3 linked regions of the Diceros bicornis minor genome follow. The protein of the gene in region 1 interacts with the protein of each later gene in a biochemical or structural test. Links are inferred from orthologs where the notes say so. Each region holds a gene or a part of one and is shown on either strand. Other genes may lie near its edges. The genes, in order: GTF2I, BTK and USF1.

Region 1 (7,440 bases):
CCCATGATAATGGACAAGGCAGACTCCTGATATCAAGTATTGAAAACTCAAGGAGAAGGTGATTATTCTTCAGGCCTGGTGAAGACATTCAGACATCACCACATCACTTGCTATTTCAAAGCAGTCAGCAAGGCTGTAAGGTCAGAGTCTATGTGAAGATGCATCTGAGTTGGTGGAAGTGCTCACACTTGATCTAAATCCATCTCTAGCCTGGCCCAGGCCCATTTGACTTGGCTTTGTCTCCCACAGTATGCAGTAGAATGGAGGTGTCATATTATACGGACACTCATCTGCAGGATTGCATACACTAGGTTAAACATTAAAAAAAGAGAGAATTATTTGAAACAATTTGAAATGAATAACGTGCAGGATTATGCCAGCTGTTGGCCTCTGTGTGCTTACATCTTAAATGAGCGTGAGCCGAGCTGTGAATCTGCTCTTCTTGCAATCTGTCTTGGTGCATGCATCTTGCTACATTGAGTGTGACCTAAACAAAGGAGGATTCCATACTATGCTATCCCTAAATACAAATCAATGATTTTTTTTTTCATCTGTTGCTCAACCCAAAATACAGCAAACTGATATTATGTTGGAAAAACAACTGGCTTTGCAGGAAGATGTTATTCAAGTGGTTTATAGCTATGTTAATGTAGTTAATGTAGTTAACAAGTTAATGTAGCATAATGCATCTAGCATCATACCATCTGTACCAATGGGAGGGAGAAACTGGCTAAGGAATAGCAACAAGTGTACCAATTACAGCCAAGGTGGTGAGCCAGGCCTTAAGAAAGATGGAAAAAGCATGATCTTTATATGACTGTAAGACAAGAATTTGAGGGTTACACCTATTAACAGTAGTACGCTGAGAAAAAAGCTTGGCCTCTATACATTGTTCAAACCACACTCTGTTCATTGTCCCCAGAGGGCCAGCTTTCTGTCTACAGGCAACTCAAAGCCAGCTGAAGTTTTAAGAACTGCTTTAGGATTTAACAGTTTTAGGAACTGCTTCAACTTCAAGGAAGTTGGAGGTGTTCACCAGGAAGCAGCAAAATTTCACTCTGGGGCCGGCCCCATGGCTTAGCGGTTAAGTGCGCGTGCTCCGCTGCTGGCGGCCTGGGTTCGGATCCTGGGCGCGCACCGACACACCGCTTCTCTGGCCATGCTGAGGCCGCGTCCCACATACAGCAACTAGAAGGATGTGCACCTATGACATACAACTATCTACTGGGGCTTTGGGGGGGAAAAAAAAATTAAATTAAAAAAAAATTCACTCTGAACTGTTAAATTCATAGAAGAAAGGGACTGCCTCCCAAATAAGTTTTTAAGGATGACAAGGGTAATCTGGACTAAATAATTCTTGCCTTCCTAACTTACTTGCTAACACCCTTCCAGTGCTACTCCACGACTCCACTGCACCCTGTGAATCCTCCTTTCACTGTCCTTAACCTCCCAGTCTTTCCAAGAAAACATACTCACCCATGTCTACAGCAGCTGAACGTTTGCAGCTTGTAGGCTGGCAGCTCTTACCAGCTAAGTTGTAGGCTTCTCAAGAGTTACACTTGCTCCTGAATATATGTCAGTTGTACTTGGTATTGGGAATATGGAATTCAATTAAATATTCCAAAACGTTAATGAAATATGAGTGCAAAAAGAACACTGTTCTTATGAAAACTAAATTAATGCTGTAGAGAGACTTGATAAGTCACAATCGAATTAGGTGAGCCCAAAATGACTGTAAAAGATTGCAGGGGAAATCATAAAAAAGTAGAAGTCTTCTGTCATCACATTGCCTCGCAGTGATCTTTAAATTTTCCATTTATTTTAAAGAAATCCAACATGGAAATTCTAGGTGAGGCTTCATGAGTGCAGTCTATGGAAGAAAGAAGACGGGGAACGCCAATCCGTGAACCCAAATTCAAAGGAAAGGTTTTGAACTTACATCAAAAGACTGGCTGCTCGCAAAGTTTTATTTCGAGCGACAAAGACCGGGAGGCTGGAAAAAGTGCCGTGGTCGCCACCTACCGAGGGCGGGTGGGGGTGGGGTGCCGGCGTGGCCCGAATCTCCGGTGGGGAAAAAAAATCACAGGATCATTCGATTTTGTGCTTTACCTAAACATCTAAACTCTCTGGGCTCGAGTTTCTCAAACTTTTGAGTTTAACTTCGGTGAACAGTAACGTCTATTTTCGAAATTCACGAGCTAACGCAAATTGAGAGGCAAAAAAATGACCGAGGGAGGGGTTTGAGTAAAATTGCTTAGCGGTTAACAGAACAGAACGGGCGACAAATCAGGTTTTCTGCTCGCACTCCGTGGCTTTTCCTCCACTTTCCTTCTAAATGTTGAGTGAGAGACGGCGCGTGAGCAAAGCCGGGGGTGGGGGGGGTGGTACATAAAAACAGAAGAGTCCCCTCCCCGGGCCCGTCCAAGTTGGAGCAACGGTCTCTTGCGGCGGCGTTGGAGGCATGCTTTCAAAAGGGACAGTTCTTTGTGTCCCAGAGGGTGGTGCAGGGTGGAGGAAGTGCCTTGGCGGGGCACCGAGGGTGGCAGAGGGCCTGGGGCGCCCCGACTTTGCCGTATTCCGGCCTAGCAATTTGCAAGCAATCTCGGGGGCACGAGTTAGTGCGAGCCCTGCACCATGGCTGAGGCCCGCTGGAGCCACCCCCGGCCTGGATCTGTGCCCCTGCGCCCCGCTCCCCTCCCCCACACGGCGGCCGCGCAGGCCCCAGGTGCAGCCATGTTCTTGCTCCCACCACCCGCGCCTCCATTGACAGTCCTTGCCGGAGAGGGCCGGGCGCCGCGCTCGCCGCGTCCTCCGGCTCGGGGCTCGCCGGCGCGAGGCTTCCTGGGAGTCGTAGTCCACCGCCCCCGCCGTCGCGTTGGTGGGGACGAATCGGAAACTACAATTCCCGCTGGGCGGCGCTGCGGGTGCGCACGCGCAGCGCGCCTTCGAGGAACAAAAAAAAAAAAGAGGAGGAGGGTGAGAGACAAGCTCTGAGAGCAGAGAAAAGGGGCCACCGGTCGCCCCCCCGCTTCGCCGCACGCGCTGTCTAACCGTGGCCTTCCGCCTGCCGCGGTTGCCCCGGCCTCTCCCTCGGTCCCCTGTGAGCGATCTCGGCGCTGAGCGAGGCCCTACTGGGGCGGCCATGCGGCGGTGACAGGAGCTCGGCCGAGACGCACGGCCCTCGCCCTCCAACCTCCTGCGCGCTCGCCAGCTCGCCTCAGACCGAGGCTCTCCGCCGCGGCCGCAGCAGCGCGGCCCGCACCCGCTGCCCTTCGGCTCCCCGGCCCCGGCGCTGCCTGGAGGCGGCTGCAGTCGGGTGAGTCCCTGGCGCCTCACCCCCGCCCCGCCCCGGCTGCCTCGCGCACGGGGCCTTGACTTGGGCCTCGCCCCCTCCGGGGCGCCACGGACAGGGGTCGGGGGCCGGCGGCGGCCGCGTGGGGCCCCGGGCCCGGCGTGGGGGTGGGGCGGCCGCGGTCGCGGGCACGGCAGTTGCACGCGCGCGGGGGAGGGGCGCCGCTGCGGGGGGGCTCCCGCGTGAGCCCCGCGCGAGCCCGCGGGTGCGCATGCCCGGCGCTGATTGGCCGGCGCGCGGTGCGGGGGCGCGCGCGGTGCCAGGCCCGAGCCGTGGGGTCGCGCTCGGCCGGGTGTCTCCGGGGCTCGTGCGCCCGGCGGCAGACGCGCCGGATTGGCCGGCGGGCGGCGGGGCGGTGCCGGCTGCCTGGTAACTGCCGGCGGCCCCGAGCGCCGCCCCCGCCCCGCCCGCGCCCAGGTGGAGACGGAGCGGGCTTTGTCCCGGCGCGGCCGGCGCGCCTGCCCCGCGGGGCCTGCTCTGGGGGGGAAGCCGCACAATGACCGGAAGGAAAGCCTCGGCCTGCGGACCGCGAAAATAGGCCGCGTGGCTTCGGCCAGCGCCCAGACGGGGTTTCAGGAGACGAGGAAGACAAAAAGCGGCCCTCCTTCCTCTCCCGCCCTCCGCCGCCCTCCCCCGAGTTTCTCCGCTGTGGAGCGGCCGTTTTTCCGCGGGGAGGCTCCGGCGCGGGGTTGACGTCGCGTCCCGTGGGCCGGCCCGCGCCTGCGAGTGCGGGCTCCGCGCACACTTCCGCCGCTGCGGATGGCGGCTCTCCCGCGGCCGCTGTGCGGGAAGGTCGTCGCGGGGGCTCGGGAGACAAGGGGAAGTTAGTGTGCAAACGAGAGCGTGCCGTGGCGCGGCCCGGGCCGGCCTCGTCCCCAGGCGCAGGCCTCCGATGGGGGAGACTGATCTTATTTCCTGCTGCACTGTTTTGCTTTGTTCCGTCTCCAGCCGCGGCGGTCTGCTGCCCTGCGCTCTTCGTTTCGTCTGCGTCTTGGGATCCTGGCGCACGCCTGTAGGCTGGCATGACTTTTTCTTCTCTTTAAGTCGTGGAACTCTTTCTTGGAGTCACTGTTAAAGCCGTCTCATATTGTTCGGTCAGAATTGGTTATTTCTCCCTACAGTGTCCAAATCAACTTGCTCTCCCCTCCGAGGCGGGCGTCTTTACTTCCTCTAAGTGTGTGTTTGGTTTTGCTTTGTGTACACGTGTCTGGCATGGTCACTAGGTATTTAACTGTTGGGTGGGTAGGCAGTAAGCCTTTTCTGCCTTGCCTTTCTCCCTCTTGCAGTCTACACCCGTCAGGAGGCCGTGCGTATATAGTAGTAACCACAGCCAGCATTTGAGTGGTTCTTATGTGCTCGCATTTCTTTTAAGCAGTTAACGTATTATGTTTTCTTTTTTTTTGAGGAAGATTGGCACTGAGCTAACATCTGTGCCAATCTGCCTTTTTTTCCTTTTTTCTCCCCAAAGCCCCAGTACATAGTTGTATATCCTAGTTGTAGGTTCTTCTGTGTGGGGCGCCGCCTCAGCATGGCTTGATGACCACTGTGTAGGTCCGCGTCCAGGACCGAAACTGGGGACCGCGGGGCACCGCCGAAGGGGAGAGAGCGAACTTAACCGCTAAACCACCAGGCCGGCGCCTATATTTTCTTATTTAATCTCTTCAGAACAAGCCGGTAATTTCATTTGATAGATGAAGAATAAGTATAGGAAGCTGGGTAATTTAGTCTTCGTTACCAAGCAAGTAGACCTTGACTCTAAGATTTGAACCTAGGCAGGAGGACTCTTGAATTCCTGAGCCAGTGGTTCTCAGACTCATCAGCATCCCCTAGAGCACTTGTTAAAACACGATTGCTGGGCCCTGCCCCAGACATTCTGATTCTGCAGGTTTGGGGTGGGGCCGGGTAACTTGCATTTCTTACTAGTTCCCATGTGCTGCTGCTGCTGGTGCTCTAAGGACTGCTTACTATGGTGCAAAGTAAGTTATAAGTGAGGGAAATTTATTGTAGATGTTTGCTTTTCATTACTTTAGAACTAGATCTTAACCAAAAATAATTTGGACTGCTAACTAGATTGCTTGGAAAACTGACTTGAAAGTTAAAAATTTTTGTTAGCCATGATTACAAAATTAAAAGTTTAATAAATAGCCATGGGTTTAAGTACAGAATAAAACTCGAACTATAAATAACTAGGTTTTTCTTTCCCCCACTCTCATTCATTTATTAATTTATTCATGGCACAGGCATTTATCTCCTCCTAGAGATACATAGAGCTTCCCATCCCCACCACGAAATCTAAGGTCTAGGAACCTGGAAGGAGTGATGGGGCTTGAGCTTGGCACTGAGGCACTGAGGTTGGGCCAGGCTGTGGCAGGCAGAGCAGCCAGAGCTCAGAACCACACCCCCCCAGCCCTGTGCACCTCCAATGATTTGGCTTAGTTTTAAGACTACGGACTACAGGGGCCAGCCTTGTTAAATTCGTCAGGCTCAGCTTTGGGGGCCCAGGTTCTGTACCCAGTGTGAACCTGGACCACTCATCGGTGGCCATACAGAATAGAGGAAGATTGGCACAGATGTTAGCTCAGGGTGAGTCATCTTCAGCAAAAAAAAAAAAAAAAAAAAAAAAAAGACTACAAAGACTTTGTCGTTAAAATGTAGGCTTTCCAGTTTTTTTTCTTGGGGCACAAGTCTTTTTTTTTTTTTTTTTGTGAGGAAGCTCAGCCTTGTGCTAACATCTGCCAAGTCTCCTTTTTTTTTTTGCTGAGGAAGACTGGCCCTGGGCTAACATCTGTGCCCATCTTCCTCCACTTTACGTGGGACGCTGCCACAGCATGCCTCCACAAGCAGTGGGTTGGTGCGCACCAGGACCCAAGCCCCGGGCCGCCAGCAGTGGAGCACGAGCACGCAACCGCTAGGCCACGGGGCTGGCCCCAATAATGAATTTCTTTCTGGGGAAAGTAATTTCAAATTAGGTAGGAGGAATGGGATTAGTTTCCAGTTATGTTCTATCACTTTTGATGATCCATAGATCGATGATGTGTTCCAAAACATAAAAGACAAAGTCCCTACTGCAGGTTATTATCTAAAGGAGTGGTAAATAAAACATTGAAAAATTACTAAACACTTAACTTTTTCTGTTAGTACTGGTGACTAGCTATTTGCATTGCATTCCACCTAATTGAATTCTGCTATTGTTTCATTCTCGGTTGAAAACATGAGATTGGCCCTGAGCTAACATCTGTGCCAATCTGCCTCTTTTTTTTTTTTTTTTTTTTCCTCCCCAAAGCCCCAGTACATAGTTGTACATCCTAGTTGTAGGTCCTTCTACTTCCACTCTGTGGGACGCCGCCTCAGCATGGCTGGACAAGCAGTGCGCCGGTGCGCACCCGGGATCCGAACCGGGCCTCCAGCAGCGGAACTCGCGGAACTCGCGCACTTAACTGCTACACCACGGGCCGGCCTGGGTCATTGTTTTTAATGCTTTCCTTGGGGCTGAAGAATTTGGATGGATCTGAACAAATCGCTCAATAGCATAGAAAACCCATGTAAGATGAGCTTGTCCCTTTGTGAAAAATAAATTTGTGCCTGCCATTTCCACATAAACAGCTCTTTTTTTCAGGTGGTTCCTGGCAGTGATTTTTTTTTAAAAATTGTAAAATATACAGAACACAAAACTTACCTTTTAACCATTTTTTTTGGGGGGGGGGAAGATTGGCCCTATGCTAACATGTGTTGCAAATCTTCCTCTTTTTCTTTTTTCTCCCCAAAGCCCCAGTACGTAGTTGTGTATCACAGTTGTAGAGTTGTAGGTCTTCTATGTGGGACGCACCTCAGCATGGCTTGATGAGTGTTGAGTAGGTCCACGGCCAGGGTCCGAACTGGGGAACCCCGGGCCTCCGAAGCAGAACACTTGAACTTAATCCCTGTACCACTGGGCTGCCCCACATTTTAACCATTTTTAAGTGCACAGTTTGTACAGTTACATTGTTGCGCAAGCATGACACTATCCATCTCCAGGACTTCTTCCTTTTCTTAAACTGAAACTGCCTATTAAACAATAATCCCCATTCCCGCCTCGCCTAGTACCTGCA
Region 2 (7,748 bases), on another chromosome or scaffold:
TGACTGAGAACTTCGCTGACACTATGAAAACACATCACCTATACTGTAGAGGTGTGGGCTAGAGACAAATGCAAGGTCTCTACCACAGTAAGTGGGAAGCATGTCTAACAGTAATTACTACTAACCTTTTTCCGGAAAATCGGCTTAGTCTGCCCACCATAGCCACTCTGCTTCCTGTCATAACGGCGCTTTCCTGGGAGAGCAAAAGTTATTTGGTATGGCATACTGAAGAACATAAATCACAACAGCCACATGGAAAAGTCTTCTTGCGGGTTTTATCTTGGGCTTTCCATCAGAATTATTAATGCCCAAGCCTGGGGAAAAAACTACACTCGTATATTATACCACTACATAAACGCCACATTAAAACCAAATTACGTACAGATCGTCTTACCCTGGGCATACAGAGAATCCTTGCCCTTCTTGTACTGTGTCACTTTGTGGGGTTGGTGCTTGCCACACTTCTTACAGAAAGTCCGGCGGGTTTTCGGAACGTTCACCTAGTAAATGAACCGTTCAGAACAGGCAGTGTTATCAGACGCCAATAGCACAACGCCCTACCCGACCCAGCTGCCGCCAAGGCATCCTACGAGGACTCGACTCTCCAACTCCTCGCTAACACACAACGCTGACCAGAAAGTGGTCCAGCCCCATGTGCTTCCAGCAGAGTGCCCTCCGCCGAGTCTCCCAGCGGAAGGACAGCGCAGTCACTCCACCCCCAGGTAAGTCTACCTCTCTAGCCCATCAATTCAATTCCTGGCCCCAAAGCCTGGCCCCTTCGAGGTCGATCCCGGCAACATTGAGTTTCTTTGGTACAATGAGTCCACGCAAGGGCCTGGACCCATCCCGGGACGACACCGTCGCCGGGAGTGGAAAGATTAACCTGGATGTTACCCTGGCCCCACACCAAAGTCCTACCATGTTTGCGAGAGCGCTATCGGCACAGAAAGAAAGAGGCCGGGCTGGAAACGGAAGTATATAGGCGGTTCCTGGTCGCGCTTCCTCATGGGAGTCGGTGGGAGCGACCATAGAGTCTAAGGCTCTGTGCGCAGCGCCCTCTGTCGGCTGAGAGGACTCGATTCGGAGCTGTGGGCGGGAGCTTAAAGAAAGGGTCAGCCTGAGGGTGATCCGTTCTCTTCGACTTCCTCCCACCCCCCAGCTTTGCAACTTTTCCTGACTTCTTCACTTTTGGGGAAGCTGCTGCGTAGCAGCGTTAAGTGAAGGAAGCAGTGCCCTTTCCAGACCCTCCGGCCTCCCTGTCCCTATCCCTGAGGGAAGCCAGGACTAGGGTCTAGTGGAGGGGCCCTCCACCTCCATCTTCCATTCCTGTTCCACTTCAAGGACACTGGGAACATCTTTCACAGCGAACTGCTGGTTCACTGAAGGCTTGGAGGAAGTCAGTGCTCTAGTTCATCAATCACATGGCCAGCTGGTCTGTTCAACAAATGTTTATCGAATGCCTATTTTGTGGCAAGCACTGTTCTAGGGAAGGGATACAATAATCAAATAATCACGCTCATGCTCGTAAATGTGTTATTACAGACTAAGTACTTTGTAAAGAAGGAGTAATGATCAGCATTAAAGCAGCCCCCTTTTGTTGAGGGAGCAAGTTGGCTGCTCTAAGTTCTGAAAAGATACAATGAAATTGTTCAGCTCCTGCAATAGCAGTAATCAGGCCAAGAGATAGAAAATATCCAGCAGCTCTTCCCTTCCCTCCATACCTGGCAGAAGGCATGCGCTAGGTTTCAAGAGAGTCCAGCAGAGAAAGACTGCAGGGTACTGAGCATTTAAAATGGATTCTCTCATAGAATTCTCACAGTAATTCTAGGAGGTAGGTGGTACTATTATTCCCATTTTACAGATGAGGAAATTGAGACTGTAGGCTGTTAAACGATTTTCCCAGTGTGATAGTATTTAGTGGAGCCAGGATACAAACACAGGTGATCTGACTCCAGAGCCTGGGTTCCTTTACCATTATACAGTATGGCTTTTGTGGCCTGGTAATTGTAATAGCTAATTAATAGCTAATAGCTAATTATTGAGCACTTATTATATGCCAGGAATTTTCCTAATCACCTTACATACTACCCCATGTACCATTATTATTATTTAACAGGTGAGGAAACTGAGGCACAAGAGGTATTAAGTTCCTTTATCCAAAGTCACACAGGTGGTTATTTTGTGGAGCTGGAATTTGATCCCAGATAACTAACACCACAGCCTTGCACTTAACTGTGATATCACACAGGGGAAGCAGGGCATCTGCAGGGTATAGGATGATGAGGAGAGAGAATTGAGCATAGATGGAGGAGGAGGTGCCAGTGGATTATGGGTTAAGGAACTTTGAAAACCTGAGGTCTCCTGCTTGCATAACCCTCCAGGAACACCCATGGGTCCAGAGCTGATTCTCTGATCATCCCCTTTTTGTTGGATGGTCTCTGGGAAAAAGATAATAAAAGCATTACCACTACCTGCTGTATTTCCTAAAAGTTTCTCTGCCAAACAGCCAGCCCATAGTCTCACAGCATTTTCTTCTTCTTTCCAGGCTCTTAGGCAGTCTCACTGGCCTTTGAGATGTTTGTAGAGGTTTTTGATGTTAGTAACATGGAAATATGAAGACAATGAACATGACCCCTCTTAGTCTAATCAATCTTAGTTCTTTCTATCACACCTCGTGTCACATGACTTTGGTTTTGATTCCCTTCACCAATCCTGGTCTCTGTTTTGGACATGCTCCTGCTCATTAATTTCCCCTGAGAAGAGGTACTCAGAACTGAACACAGGATCTAGATATGACCTGGCCTTGCAGAGTAAGTGGCCTGTTCACTTACCTTTGTCTACATATTTTACTTCTATAAGGAAGCCTAATATCACCTTGGATTTTTCTGGCAGCCATGTTACTGACATGACATTTCTCTTGATTACTATCAGCAAAAACCTCTGAACCATTTTCCCAAATGCTACTGCTATCTCATTTTCACCTGGAGTCCTTTGAAGTTCAATGTCCGGTGCCCAGTTATGAGATGGGATATGACCCTTAGCCCTGGTAAATTACACTTCGTTGAAGTTGGCTTATCACACCAGGTGATCAAGATCTTTTGGAAACTGATTGCTCTGGTTTTGTCATCCAGTCTAGCTCACAACAGCCTTGGGCCATTCATGGATTAGTTAGGCTACTTGCTGTATCTTCCTCAAAGGTCATTAATAAAAATGTTGAACAGGATAGCACCAAGAATAGAACCTTATATTACATCGGGAATCTTTTGAGGCGACACTAGGCCATCCATTTGCTCTATTTGGGTTCAGTCCTTCTGTCATCTAGCCAAGTGTGTAGGAGATTGCTCATGGGCAGAGAGTGAAGAAGTGCCTAGGTTTACTTTCCCCTTTCCCTTGTCTTGTTCTCCCTTGTCCAGATCCCCCATTGTATGCCTATCAATTCCCAGTCTCCACCCCAAGATGGACCTTGAGAAGGGCCAAGGCATGTGACAACAAGTAGCATCTAACTAAAGAAAAGGGGAGGGAAGGCAAATGTCTGTGACCAACTCTCAGGCAGGTGATTGGAGCAGCTGTTCAGGGGGTGGCTAGTGAAAAATTGTCAGTGAAATAGGAAGATCCTGCAACACTTGCTGCCTATCTATCTTGTGCAGAGGTGAGGATTAACCACTCACTATGCTACAAAATGCCTTTTAAAAAAAGCACGTTGCCTGAAAACTTCTGATGGATTTCTAGTGAGATCTGTGATCTGATTCTACATTTGGATACAGTGCCTGGGGCAAGTAAAGATGGCAGTGCCTGATGTGTCAAGGTGGGCAAGCAGATCAGTCACCAGGGGCTCTGCCAGTGGTGTCTACATTTCCTAGGAGAATCCTCCGGGAGAAGATTGCTGCTAGAACATAGGCTAGGAGGTGGCTGAGGAAACATTCAGGCTTCAAGAAACATACCTTGTCTGGTTTATCGCTTTACAGGATTAAAGGGAAAGGTGTAAATTAAGAGTTAATCCCTGAGGCAGAATCTTAAATGGAGAAAATCAACATCCACAGAAAATGGGGAAGGGCACAAGTCTTTGCGTGGGCTCACATTCAGACATTTTTATCTGTAGAAAAAATGCTTTCTTAGAAAATGACTCAGCAGGGGGAAGTCTTGTCTCTACCTCTGTCAGGCTCTGTACTTTGGGGTCCCTTCATGAGCACTCCATCTTTCACTATCAAGTTTCACTCTGAGACCCCGAGTCTGCTCTGCCTTAGAGGACATGAGACTCTAAAGACACTCTTCCTCTTTGGTCCCTTTGTTTTGTCTTTGCAGGTCTGCATTTCTCCTCTTTCCTGTAAGTCTCCACTCCCTGTGCTGACCATCCTCACAGTCCTTTAGGTGTGTCGTCCCTTTATCTCGGGGAGGTCAGCCTGACGACCTGTCTGCTCAAACAAACCCCATCTAGAGTCTCAGTGGCCTCAGTAATGTTGAGAAGCGTTCTTTCAGAGCGGACTCAAGATAGTAGTGTCAGAGGTCCCAAGCAAATGAAGGGCGGGGACAGCTGGGGGGTGGAATAGGGACAGCAGCAGGGAACCAGATACCATGCTGCTGAGAAGAAGAAAAAAAAAGACATTGGTTTAAGTCAGGAAACAAAAAAAGGGAACTGAGTGGCTGTGAAAGGGTGGGGTTTGCTCAGACTGTCCTTCCTCTCTGGACTGTAAGAATATGTCTCCAGGGCCAGTGTCTTCTGAGATCGAGTCCCACCTTCAAAGTCCTGGCATCTCAATGCATCTGGGAAGCAACCTGCATTAAGTCAGGACTGAGGTGGGTCTGGGGCATGGCAGGGGCTGGGCAGCAGCAGCAAGTAGCTTTCATGGGATCCCTGAAGGCCAGAGAGAAAGCATGGCTGGTGCCATGTAGTCTGCTGGCTGAGGAGGCTGACGGAGGGTGGGAGTGTCATCAGCACAAGGCCCTGGCGGCCCATTCCGATGATCAGAAGGGACTGTAAGGGTCCTTTCTGAGGAGGGTGTGGGGGGAACAAAAAGAAAAAAGTGACATGAGGTGACCATCTGAACATGTAGCAAAAGTTGGAGTGGGTCACCTCTGCAAAACTTGGCAGAAAAGTAATACCGCCGGTGGCAGTAGGATAAAAATAAGCCCTTTGGTCAAATATTGCTTGAAGACCCAAAATGTATACTTGTATCAATGAGGCCCTTAGAAGAAATTCAAAGAGGCAGATTGTCTGAGAAAACCGTAAAAGCTCACATGCCGCAATAGGCCGTTACCTTTGTAAACTGGGGAAAGGCACCGGCCAAACCAGGGTGTAGGCCACCTGCCTCAGGCTGCCTTGGGCCACTGTTGCCAGGATCAAAGCTGGCTTGTTGGAAGCATTGTATGCGCCAACCTCGTGGTAATAGTGGGTAAGAGACTTGGCCAGAAGAAAGCAGCCTCAGCCTCAGCCCAGACAGTGTGGCCAACCCCTGAGGTCATGGGGAAGGTTTTTCCTATTACCATTGCCTGCCATGTGCACGGCTTTTTCTTCTCTTGTCTTCATCATTTCTCCTCTCTTTTCCTCTCCTCTCCTCCTCTCCATCCACCTCCTCCTTCTCCTCATCCTCCTCTCCCTCCTTTCTCTACCTATATCCTCTCTTCTTTATTTCCTCCTTTATTTTGTTCATTACCACATCCCCTAGAACAGAGTCAGTGCTTAATAAATCATCGTTGAATTGCGTTGAATTGTTCTTGCCCCTTTCTTCCCCTGATCTTTCCCCTTTTCCCTTTCCCCCGACTTGCCTAGTACGCTCCCCGTAGGATAGTTGTGAGCAGCAAGTGTGTTAATACATGTAAAAGCAGTTAAAACGGGGCCTGGCAATAGTAAGTGCTAATATCTCAAGGTTTGCTATTATTTTTGTACTGCCTGAGACCTGCCAGTATCCCCAGAGGGCCTGCCTAGAGCAAATAGTGTGGCATTTAGAATAAAAGGGATTGCTGGCCCTGATCAAGACATCCTTGGATGAGTTGCTGGACTTCCAGATAGAATCCTGGTCCAGTTTCCTGGCCACCCAGCTCTCCAAGCTCAAGGTCTCTATCCTATTCTGTGCATTTCCAGAAGCAGGGCAGCAGCAAAGCCCAGAGGCAGGGGTCTCTGCAGCTCAGAGGCTGTCCTCTGCGCTGTTAGTTTTATGCTAGTTCTGCTCCTTCCCTCATTTTGCATGCCAAACCCCTGAACCAAGGGTACTACAGCCTCTCTGGAGCCTGTTATGTGATAAAACAATCTCACCCTCCAAATAAGCCACAAAATGCAAATACTCATGGAACCTAAAGCATTCTACCGAAGCAATATCCCTTAGGGCTAGCCCTATTGGCTCTATCCTGACCCTTTTTATATTCAGACTATTTAAACTATCTGCTTGTGTTACAGTCCAAATTCCTGTTGCTTATGGCTGGTTATGTGTTTGTTTAGAATCCTCTGTAAACTCCTTACGGTGTGAACTAGTGCAACTTTCCATCCACCTCTGGGCTCTTGGTGTAATTTTAAATTATCATCACTATGATTTACTATTTCCATTTGAGCAAATTTCCTATAGTGAGTTTCCTTTCAGTGTACTAGACCCATACCAGGAAGTGACTTAGGTATAAGGGGAAGATATGGCTTTTGAAAACCACTTTGAGTGTTCTCCAAAGAGTCATCAGATACCTGCTGCTTTTCGCCCAGTGATGCCGAGATGTGATTGCTAACTCTTGGGAATAAGGCAGAGCTAGAATTTTCAGTGAGGCAGTGCTCAACAAGCAGCTAGAGAGGAGACCTTGACCTAATTCACTCCAAAGCTGCTTGGTTATGCAAATGAAGCCATCAAGGGAGGGGGAGGGAGAACTCCTCTGAGGACCCTGAAACAAATGGGCCACGTGTGACTTTCAGTTTCTCTGGAGGTTCGTGTGCACTGACCGAGGGTGTACAGAGAGCGCTGGAAACACAAAAGCCTTAACCCCAGGCTTTCCTCCTCACTCTCTGAGAGCCATCACCAGATGCCCATAGGGTTAATGTTGGTTATCTGACCCTCAAGGAGAAGCTCAGTTCACTATCTTGCCTCCCTGAAATGAAAATGAACCATAGTCTATTAGCTCATCCCTAGAAGAAGGAAATTCTAGGGAGTCAAGAGAAGTTAAATTTCAGACAAGTTGGAGGTTGGAAGGTACTGGACTTCAAGATCACTGGCTCAATGAAAAAACAGATTCGTCTGCAATAAAAACAGAGTAAAAAACTGATTAGAAATGGAGCAGATAAGAGATAAAGGCGTGGGGAAAGCAGGCTCTCAAAAACTGCTATTCGAAGTAGAAATTAGTGCAATGTTTCTGGAAACTATTTTGTCACTATGTTTCAAAATGCAAAATGCACATACTTTTTGACTTGGTAAATGATGCTTATATAGAGATCCTAATATCATGGGAAAATAATCAGAAATAGTGTTAAATAAGAACTTTAAATATTTGGGGGGAAAATGAGTGTTAGATGGATGGATGGATGGATGGATAGATAGATAATGTTAAGAAGAATAAGCAAACTACAAATAGTATGTGCAATACGATCTCAAATATAAGAAAAATGCGCAGAAAAAAATGGAAAGTAATATGCCCGAATATTAATGCCTCTGGATTATGAGCTTATAATTGATGCTTTATTTTTCGTATTTCTGTACTTCAAACATTTTCTATAATGAACATGTGTTATTTTAATACTGAAGGAAAAAACAAACATTTAATCCAGGGAAAGCAAAAAC
Region 3 (7,983 bases), on another chromosome or scaffold:
GTGTCCACATATCAGATCCCTACAATGTCAACCTTCCACTACACATCACCTCTATCCTCAGTGTGCCCCCAAACATCATCTCGAACGTCTCCTTGGCCAGGCTCACTCGTGGCCTTGAGTGCCCCGCCCTACAGCCCCGGACAAGCCCTGCCTCTGGCCCTGGCCGTGGCCCCGGCCCCCCAGGTGAGGACCCAAGGAATACCCAGGATTAGGAGAGGGGACTAGAACTCTAGGCTGAAGCTCTGATGCTGGGGATCTGCCCTGGGAAGGGCAGAGGCCTCAGCCCTGGGGCTGAAGTTTACTTTCAACTGCCTCCCTGGATTTGAGGTTGGGGGAATCCAGTAATATTATCAGATTGTGTGAAATTCATGGGGAGAGGATCTCTGGCAGCCTTCAGATCACTGATATACCCAAGAATGGGGGTCTGTGTCAGACACATATAGCAGGGATTACTAAGTACAAGGTGGGAATATATAATAGATGATGGTAATAACAATAATAACATTAATACTAATAGCTAACAATTATCAAGGGCTTACTATGAGCCAAGTGCTGTGTTAAGGACTTCGCAGGCATTAGCTTATTTCATTTTCTCATAATCTCATCACACAGGTATGGTGGTTATCCTTATGTTACAGCAGTGGAACCTGAGACCTAGGTTAAGCAATTTGCTATTAATTTAGGTAGGAGGTGGTGGAGGTGGGATCTGATCTTTGCTCTGACTCCGGTTCCTGAAGTGTCACTGATGAGAAGTACCAAGGCAGCACAGGGTAGTGGGTAAGGATGTGGGCTACAGAGTTAAGCAGACTTGAGTTGAAATTTTGGCTGTGCCACTTACTGTTTTTGTGATCTTAGACAAATCTCTCTGAGTCTCAGCTTTCTCAAATGTAACATGGGGATAAAACCCCTATATTATAGGGTTGTTTTGTGGGGGAAATAAGATGATGCATTGTAAAATATATAGCAAGGTGCTTGGCACCTGGTGGGAGCTCAGTAAAGGCAGCTATGAGCCAATAGTTAGGGATATTGGTCTGAAAGGATCAGCCACATGGAGCATCTATGCTGGGAGTACCAGGGCCATATTGTAGCAATGCTAGGAAGACCCACATTGGAAAGGGTCAGGGCTGGTCTTGACCTTTGTATTCCTGGGACACCTCTCTCTCAACAGATGAGAAGTCGGAGGCAAGTCCAGTCCCAGGTCCCCTGGCTGACTCAGGCCCAGCGGACGTGGCCCCTGCCCTGGAGGACTGCCTGTCCCAGGAGGTGCAGGATTCCTTCTCCTTCCTAGAGGACTCAAGCAGCTCAGAGCCGGAGTGGGTGGGGGCGGAGGATGGGGAGGTAGCCAAGGCAGGAGCAGCAGGAGCAGCCTTCTCCCCTGGGGAGGACGACCCTGGGATGGGCTACCTGGAGGAGCTCCTGGGAGTTGGGCCTCAGGTAAGGAGGAGCTGTGCTGGGTTTGGGGGTGGTAAGAATCCAGAGGGTGGACAGGGCCACCTGGTCCTGAGCCATAATGTGTGTCTACAGGTGGAGGAGTTCTCCGTGGAGCCGCCCCTGGATGACCTGTCTCTGGATGAGGCGCAGTTTGTCCTGGCTCCCAGCTGCTGTTCCCTGGACTCTGTTGACCCGGGGCCCGAAGCAGAGGAAGAAAGTGGGGAGGAAGTCTTCCTGAGTGCCTATGATGACCTAAGTCCCCTTCTGGGGCCCAAATCCCCAACCTGGGAGGGTCCAGGCAGTCTGGAAGAAGAGGTAGCAGCGTGTGAAAGACAGGAGGCTCTAGGAAAGGCTGAGGGAGAGCAGGCATGCTGGGAAGTTGGAGAGGATACAGAGGCTGAGCCTGGAAGCAGATGGGATATCAGGGAGGAGGCTGAGGGGAGTCCAGAGAGTGAGGTGGAGGATGGAGAGGCTGGTGAGAAAGAAGGGGAAGCTAGGGGAAGCCAAGAGATGATGGCCCACTTGAGAGAAGAGAGTGGGGAAGAGAAAGAGGCCAAGAGAGAGGAGTCCAAGGGTCAGTGGGAGGATGAGAGTATGGAAGAAGCTAAGAGTGTAGAGGAAGTAGGAGGAAGGCAAGGTAAAGACAAGGAGAAGGAAAGAAAGACTGAGAGAGAGGAAGAGGCTAAGGAAGGAGAGGAAGCCCAGGTAGAAGCTGGAAGGGACCCAGAGCACAGGGCCCGCGAAAACCAAGTTGCTGAGGAGAGCTGGGAAGTCGTCCACAAACAAGAAGCTGTCGGAGGCAGAGAGGATGAGGTCAAGGGACAGAGCGGGGATGGGGACCAAGAGGCAAGAGAAGACCAAGGAGATGGTGAAGATAGCAAGAGCCCGGACGCAGCAGCTGAAGGAGGAGTAGGGGAGGTGAGCAAGGAACGAGAGAGTGGGGATGGAGAGGCTGAGGGAGACCAGAGGGCTGGAGGTGACCATTTAGAAGAGGCCTCCCTCCCTGAAGGGTCACATGTAGAGTCCCTGGAGGTTGATAGTGCCAAAGAGGGCAATGCCCAGTCCTCTGAGACAGAACAGGCAGTCCCACAGCCACCCCGGCCAGAAGAGATGGAGCCTGAGGGGCAGCCCAGTCCAGAGGGCTGCAATCTGTGCCCCTGTCCCTTTGGCTCAGCTGGAGGTGTGGGCATGCGCCTGGCTTCCACCTTGGTTCAGGTCCAACAGGTCCGCTCTGTGCCTGTGGTGCCCCCCAAACCACAGTTCGCCAAGATGCCCAGTGCAATGTGTAGCAAGATCCATGTGGCACCTGCAAACCCATGCCCGAGGCCTGGCCGGCTTGATGGGACTCCTCGGGAAAGGGCTTGGGGGTCCCGAGCCTCCCGATCCTCTTGGAGGAATGGGGGCAGTCTTTCCTTTGATGCTGCTGTGGCCCTGGCCCGGGACCGCCAGAGGACTGAGGCTCAGGGAATTCGGCGGACCCAGACCTGTACTGGGAGTGAGGACTACAGCCTCAACCCCAGAACCTCCCCCTGTAGCATGATCCCTGCTCATTCTCTTCGGCCCTTTAGCTGCCTGGAACTCCAATCTGAAGGCACAGAAGGGTCTGGACCCCGGAGTCGGCTTAGTCTTCCCCCCAGAGAACCACAGCCCCCTGACCCCCTTACACCCCCCCAGCGCCGATCCTATGCATTTGAAACACAGGCTAACCCTGGGAAAGGTGAGAGACTGTGATTAGGACCAGAGCACTGGGCAAAGGGGACAGTAAGTTGTCTTGAATCTCTGGGGTCCCTGACTAGCTGTCTCTTCTGCAGCCCGAGCAGCTATAGTGCCCAACTCTATAGGCTTTGGCCCTCCAGCTTCTCTTTTTGACTGTGGGAGGCACTGCCTTGGTTGGTTTACCTGAGCTTGTCTCAGACACAAAGCACTTATCCCTTAGGAGATTCCCAAGCAAGTCACCAAGATCCTGTTCCCAGGGAGTGAGGTCATTGGCCAAAGGGAACAAAGAGCAGGCAGAAAACTTAGAGGTTTCTCAAAGTGAAGAAAGAAGGGGGAACTCCAGCGAAGTTCCTGCCCTCCTCTGAGGCTGTGAACTTCTCTTCATGCAAGCCCAGGGTGGAGGTGGGGAGGACAGGGCCAGGTCAGAGCCTATTACACCCAAACAGTTCTAGAGCTTCCCATCGTTGTTCTGCTCTTGGGCTCTTGGATACCTCCTGACCCTCTTAGCTCCACACTAGGAGGAACATGTCCAGAAAGCTCTTTGAAGCCCTCGGTGTTTGTTGGAGGGACTGACCCCCTTTCCAGCCCCGCCACTCTCTGCCTCTGGTCACATTAAGGATGAGAGGTCCTGTACAGATCTCTCTGGCCTCTCCTTTTTCCTTTGGAATAACTTCCTCCTATTTCAGGGAAGGGAAATGGAGTCACTAAGGCTCTGGGACTGCTTCTCCAGATAGGCTGGGGCTACAGGTCCCATTCTAGTAAGGGGTGATGTCTCAGAATAAAAGTTGTACTTTTACATGTAAATAGTGTGAAGTCTCATTATTCTTATTAAAGTCTCCGGTGATAGGTATCACATTTTCATAAGTTTGGCCAATCGTTGTCTTCTACTTTTGTTGTTTGTCTGCTCTTCCTCAGTTGTTGTCATGGAGACCTGTGGCTAGAAACTAGAGCTGGGTTCATGGTGGTGAGGAAATGGGGAAGAGAAACTTATATTTACATAATGCTCATTATGTGCCAGTAAAGGCTAGGTAGTCTACGTGCATAGAATCTATGCCCTTGATTTTATTCAGTCCACCTAACAATTCTGTAAGGTTGGTACTGGTACCTCCACTTTACAGGTGAGGAAACTAAAGCTAATTAAGTCAAAGGTTTGCCAAAGATCTCAGAGGTAAGAAGTGGCAGAGAAAGGTCTGAGACCCGAGTTTATCTCGCTCCAGAGACTGAACTCCAGAGTCTGAACTCTTCCCATTACACCACACTACTCCAAATCCATTAAGGGTAGGTCCTGACTGAGAAGAATGGGAATAAGGATACCTCTCACAGAAACTGAGCGTCACAAAAACTGAAGGCCTTGGAGGTCTCTGGGAGAGTGATTGCTGACGCTAATACAAAGGAGCACGCCCAGATCTATGTATGCCTAGATATGTCCTAATTTCCAATAGGAGACACTTCAAAAAGGTGTCCTGATCCAAGATGGCCTCCCAAATAGCCCTTGTTAAAGATGGCGCCTCCGTCCGACGTCCCTCCCTTGCTCTAAGCTGGCCTCTCATTCCTTTTTCCTTGAACTAAAATGGCCGTGTCCAGCAGAAAGACAGCACAACTTAGTCGACTTTCTCCCGTTCTTGCCGAAACAGACCAGGCCTTCAGCGTCATTCCCCCCACGGTCCCGGCAAATTGCTTCTTCCCGACCCCAGAGACGCCCCCAACTCCGCACCTACAGCCCCTATCAAGATGGAGCGAACGGAAGTGGTGCGGCTCAGAGGCTCAGTGGGCTGGGCGGGTCAACCGAGACACTTCCGCCCCTCACCAACATGGCCACGGGCTGGAAGTGCGCATGAGCAGCTGTTCATGGAGATACCCAGGTCCGGAGAGGGAGAACACGGTCCGGGAAAATTGGCGGCTGGGGCGGCCGTGGCCGGTGAGTGCAGGACCGGACGGAGTCTGGAGACTGGATGCGCCGGCAGGGCGGGGCAACCTTGATTTTGTTTCAGTTTTTCAGGTTAGGGCACTCCTGGGGAGGAAGCCTTTGTTTTGAGGGACGGGGCCGTGCCCGGTTCTTTACCTCCTACCCCTCTTTGTGGGCCGAACTCACTCCCCGCCCCCGAGCGCGCACGTCCCCGCCCTCCTGCGCTGCCAGCCGCGGGCCGGGGACCCCGGGGCCGCCGAGCCCGGGGCTGGCTTTCCTGCCTCCTCTGCGGAGCAGCGCGGGCGCGGGGTGAGCGCAGCGGGGCTGGCCGTGTCACGGCGTGGGCTCCCGGGATCGCGCCTGGCCGCCGGTCAGCGGCTAAGCGCCTGCTGGTTGGTGGGCCTGCAGGGAGACGGCGCATTCTCAGGCAAGATCTAGGCGCCTGACTTCTTTCGAGACTTGAGTATTTTTCCCTTTGTGTCCACCCTTAGCAAGGACTCTGGCTGGGCCTTCCCTCGCCTGAGGGTGCACGCCACAACATCCTATCCCGGTTTCCGTGTCGCATATCCCTAATGCTCAGAAAATGCTTCCGGATGTCCAACTAAGATTTGAATAAGTAGCCTAACCCCGTTGCTGGGTGTCCTCACCCAGAAGCTGCTCCTAGCTGACAGCTGTGGGCAATAGAGAAGCCTCCTGTGCCCTGCCCTCTTTCATTGCCTCCTCCTGCAGGCAGCGCGTCAGGTCTGGAGGGGCACTTCCTCCGCAGGTTTGAGGATGGAGAGGTAGGTGGTCCCGAAACGCTAGTGCTACTTCCCCTTGCGGACTGGGATCTTCTTGCAACGCTACTTCCTCCGGACAGTTTCACTTTCAGTCCCCCCCCCCCCCTTTTTTTTTTCGGTTAACACTTTCTTTGGATACGGGCTTTCCAAGGCTCATCTGCTGAAGATTTTCCTTGAATAAGAAAGGTTTGGGGGACTTTATGGGTAGAGAACTTAAAAAAAATCTCACCTCTTTCGTGTCGGGATTACCTTATTGCTTTGTACTATGTAGCTGTTTCTTTCGGAGGCATATCTGCTCGGCCCTTGGTTTTTCCTGTCCTCTGGTTGGGTGTCAGGGTCCTAAGGCAGGCACCTTGTAGATGGATTCCTCCCCCATTGTCTCTTCTTCGAAACCCTGAGCCTGGAGTTTTTTCACTTCTTGCTGAGGCTCAGTTGATTTGGAGTTGTCATGGCAACATTTTAGCAACTGTGTTGTTCTACAGGAAGGCTCGGTGAATAAAATAGAAGGCTTGAAGATGATACACTTGGGCTTTAGGGTCTTTAACAAATGACATAAATCTGGACACCCCAAAACTAGAGCCCTGTCAGTAGAATGGGGAATGAGGCCCAAGGTCTCATAGACAGTGGTGGTCTAAACATGGTCCTTCCTAATCCCCATGATATGGCAGATCATAAAAGCTTTAATAATAATTCATGCCGAAATACGTTGTTTCTCAGTTTTCCAGTATAATTATCCCCTCTCCACCAGGAGTTGGGTGATAACGGAGGGGTGAAGAACACTGTTTGTAGAGTTGCTTTTTCAATCACTGTAGCCCTCAGCATCATAATGGAGGAAGCTGACTGTCCCCTGCAGATGATTGGGTTATGTTCCTGGCTGTGTCTGCATGGAGCCAAGGTTCTAGAAACAGGGGCTGTTCAGTTTCCTAGACTCACTGCAGACTCCCTGATTTCTACCAGGACTTAGCACTCAGGTCTGAGAGGCAGGAGATACGAAGACTTCCAAAGAAGGACCAGTTCCTCGGATGTACCCCCTTACAGAGAGATGAAGGGGTGAGTGAAGAAGAGGTAGGGTCTGGGATGGGAGATGGGAGGCCTGGGAGAATACAAAATGCCTAAGAGCACTGGCTCTGAAGTCAGGCAGACCTAGATTCAGGCCCTAGCTCCATCACTTACTAGCTGGGTGATTTGGTTTCCCATCTATAAAATGCAAGTAGCACTACCTACCTCCTCGTGCTGTTCTTAGTATTCAGTAAGATAGTGCCTGTTAAGTGCTTAGCTAGTGCCCATGTACACAGTAAACACTCAGGAAATACTACCTGTTTTTCTAACCTAACCTACATCTAGTGGGAATGCCAATGAGTTTGGGAGCCATATGTTACTGGGCCAGTGAGCTTTTCTTTCACTTCTCCCCTTATTCTTCCTTTTGTCCCTTCACAAACAGGCAGCAGAAAACAGCTGAAACGGAAGAGGGGACAGTGCAGATTCAGGAAGGTGAGTGGTAGAAACAGACCTGAGACCAAGAGCCCATCGTGGCCTCTCCCCCTCCCCCATCGGCCCATCTCCTGTGCACCCTTCTCCTTTTGAATGACATGCAAGTGGAACAGAGGGAGAAAGGCAGTAACTCACAGACTTTTCTTTTGCTCTTTTAATTCAGGTGCGGTGGCAACTGGGGAGGACCCCACCAGTGTGGCTATCGCCAGCATCCAGTCAGCTGCCACTTTCCCTGACCCCAACGTCAAGTACGTCTTCCGAACTGAGAATGGGGGCCAGGTAAGGGAGGGGGCCAGGTGGCTGCAGGTGTTACCTGGGGTTGGGATTGAGGGAGGTAATCAAACCTGTCGTGGGGAGACCTGGCTTGGAGGATGAGGTGAAAATGTGGACTGTTGGTGGGGTGACTTAGAGTAAGAGGTTTGGAGTAGAGATTGGGGTGGGGTAGGGGCTATGCTGAAACCTCTGTATGGATAAAGAAGGGGAAATGGCTGAATCTATGTCTCTGAAGGACTCTTGTTTTGGGACCCTACTCAAGAAGCTTTATGAGGGGCCCTGAGATCTCCAGCACTTACTCTCTTATTCTCTCTTCCTCTCCTTCCCCTTTCCTCCCTGCTTCTAGGTGATGTACAGGGTAATCCAGGTGTCTGAGGGGCAGCTGGA

What was found.
Region 2: the proteins of GTF2I (region 1) and BTK form a complex in vitro, tested with the Homo sapiens proteins (4 studies listed by BioGRID and IntAct, with this or other methods). The link is inferred for Diceros bicornis minor from reciprocal best matches to the Homo sapiens genes GTF2I and BTK.
Region 3: the proteins of GTF2I (region 1) and USF1 form a complex in vitro, tested with the Homo sapiens proteins (2 studies listed by BioGRID). The link is inferred for Diceros bicornis minor from reciprocal best matches to the Homo sapiens genes GTF2I and USF1.

The regions. Positions count from the first base shown.
Region 1 is NC_080765.1:1,771,820-1,779,259, reverse strand, and holds the start of GTF2I (general transcription factor II-I), read left to right. Parts: upstream 1-4,377; 5' UTR 4,378-5,318; coding exon 5,319-5,328; intron 5,329-7,440. UniProt on the Homo sapiens protein: Interacts with the basal transcription machinery by coordinating the formation of a multiprotein complex at the C-FOS promoter, and linking specific signal responsive activator complexes.
Region 2 is NC_080781.1:94,497,434-94,505,181, reverse strand, and holds the start of BTK (tyrosine-protein kinase BTK), read left to right. Parts: upstream 1-4,647; 5' UTR 4,648-4,794; intron 4,795-7,748. Other genes in the region: RPL36A (large ribosomal subunit protein eL42), read right to left, coding at 126-193, 395-500, 919-1,029. UniProt on the Homo sapiens protein: Non-receptor tyrosine kinase indispensable for B lymphocyte development, differentiation and signaling. Binding of antigen to the B-cell antigen receptor (BCR) triggers signaling that ultimately leads to B-cell activation.
Region 3 is NC_080743.1:67,634,968-67,642,950, reverse strand, and holds the start of USF1 (upstream stimulatory factor 1), read left to right. Parts: upstream 1-4,954; 5' UTR 4,955-5,065; intron 5,066-5,495; exon of another isoform or gene 5,496-5,835; intron 5,836-5,893; exon of another isoform or gene 5,894-6,018; intron 6,019-6,789; 5' UTR 6,790-6,874; coding exon 6,875-6,882; intron 6,883-7,273; coding exon 7,274-7,323; intron 7,324-7,486; coding exon 7,487-7,602; intron 7,603-7,942; coding exon 7,943-7,983. Other genes in the region: ARHGAP30 (rho GTPase-activating protein 30), read left to right, coding at 1-183, 1,169-1,434, 1,525-3,162.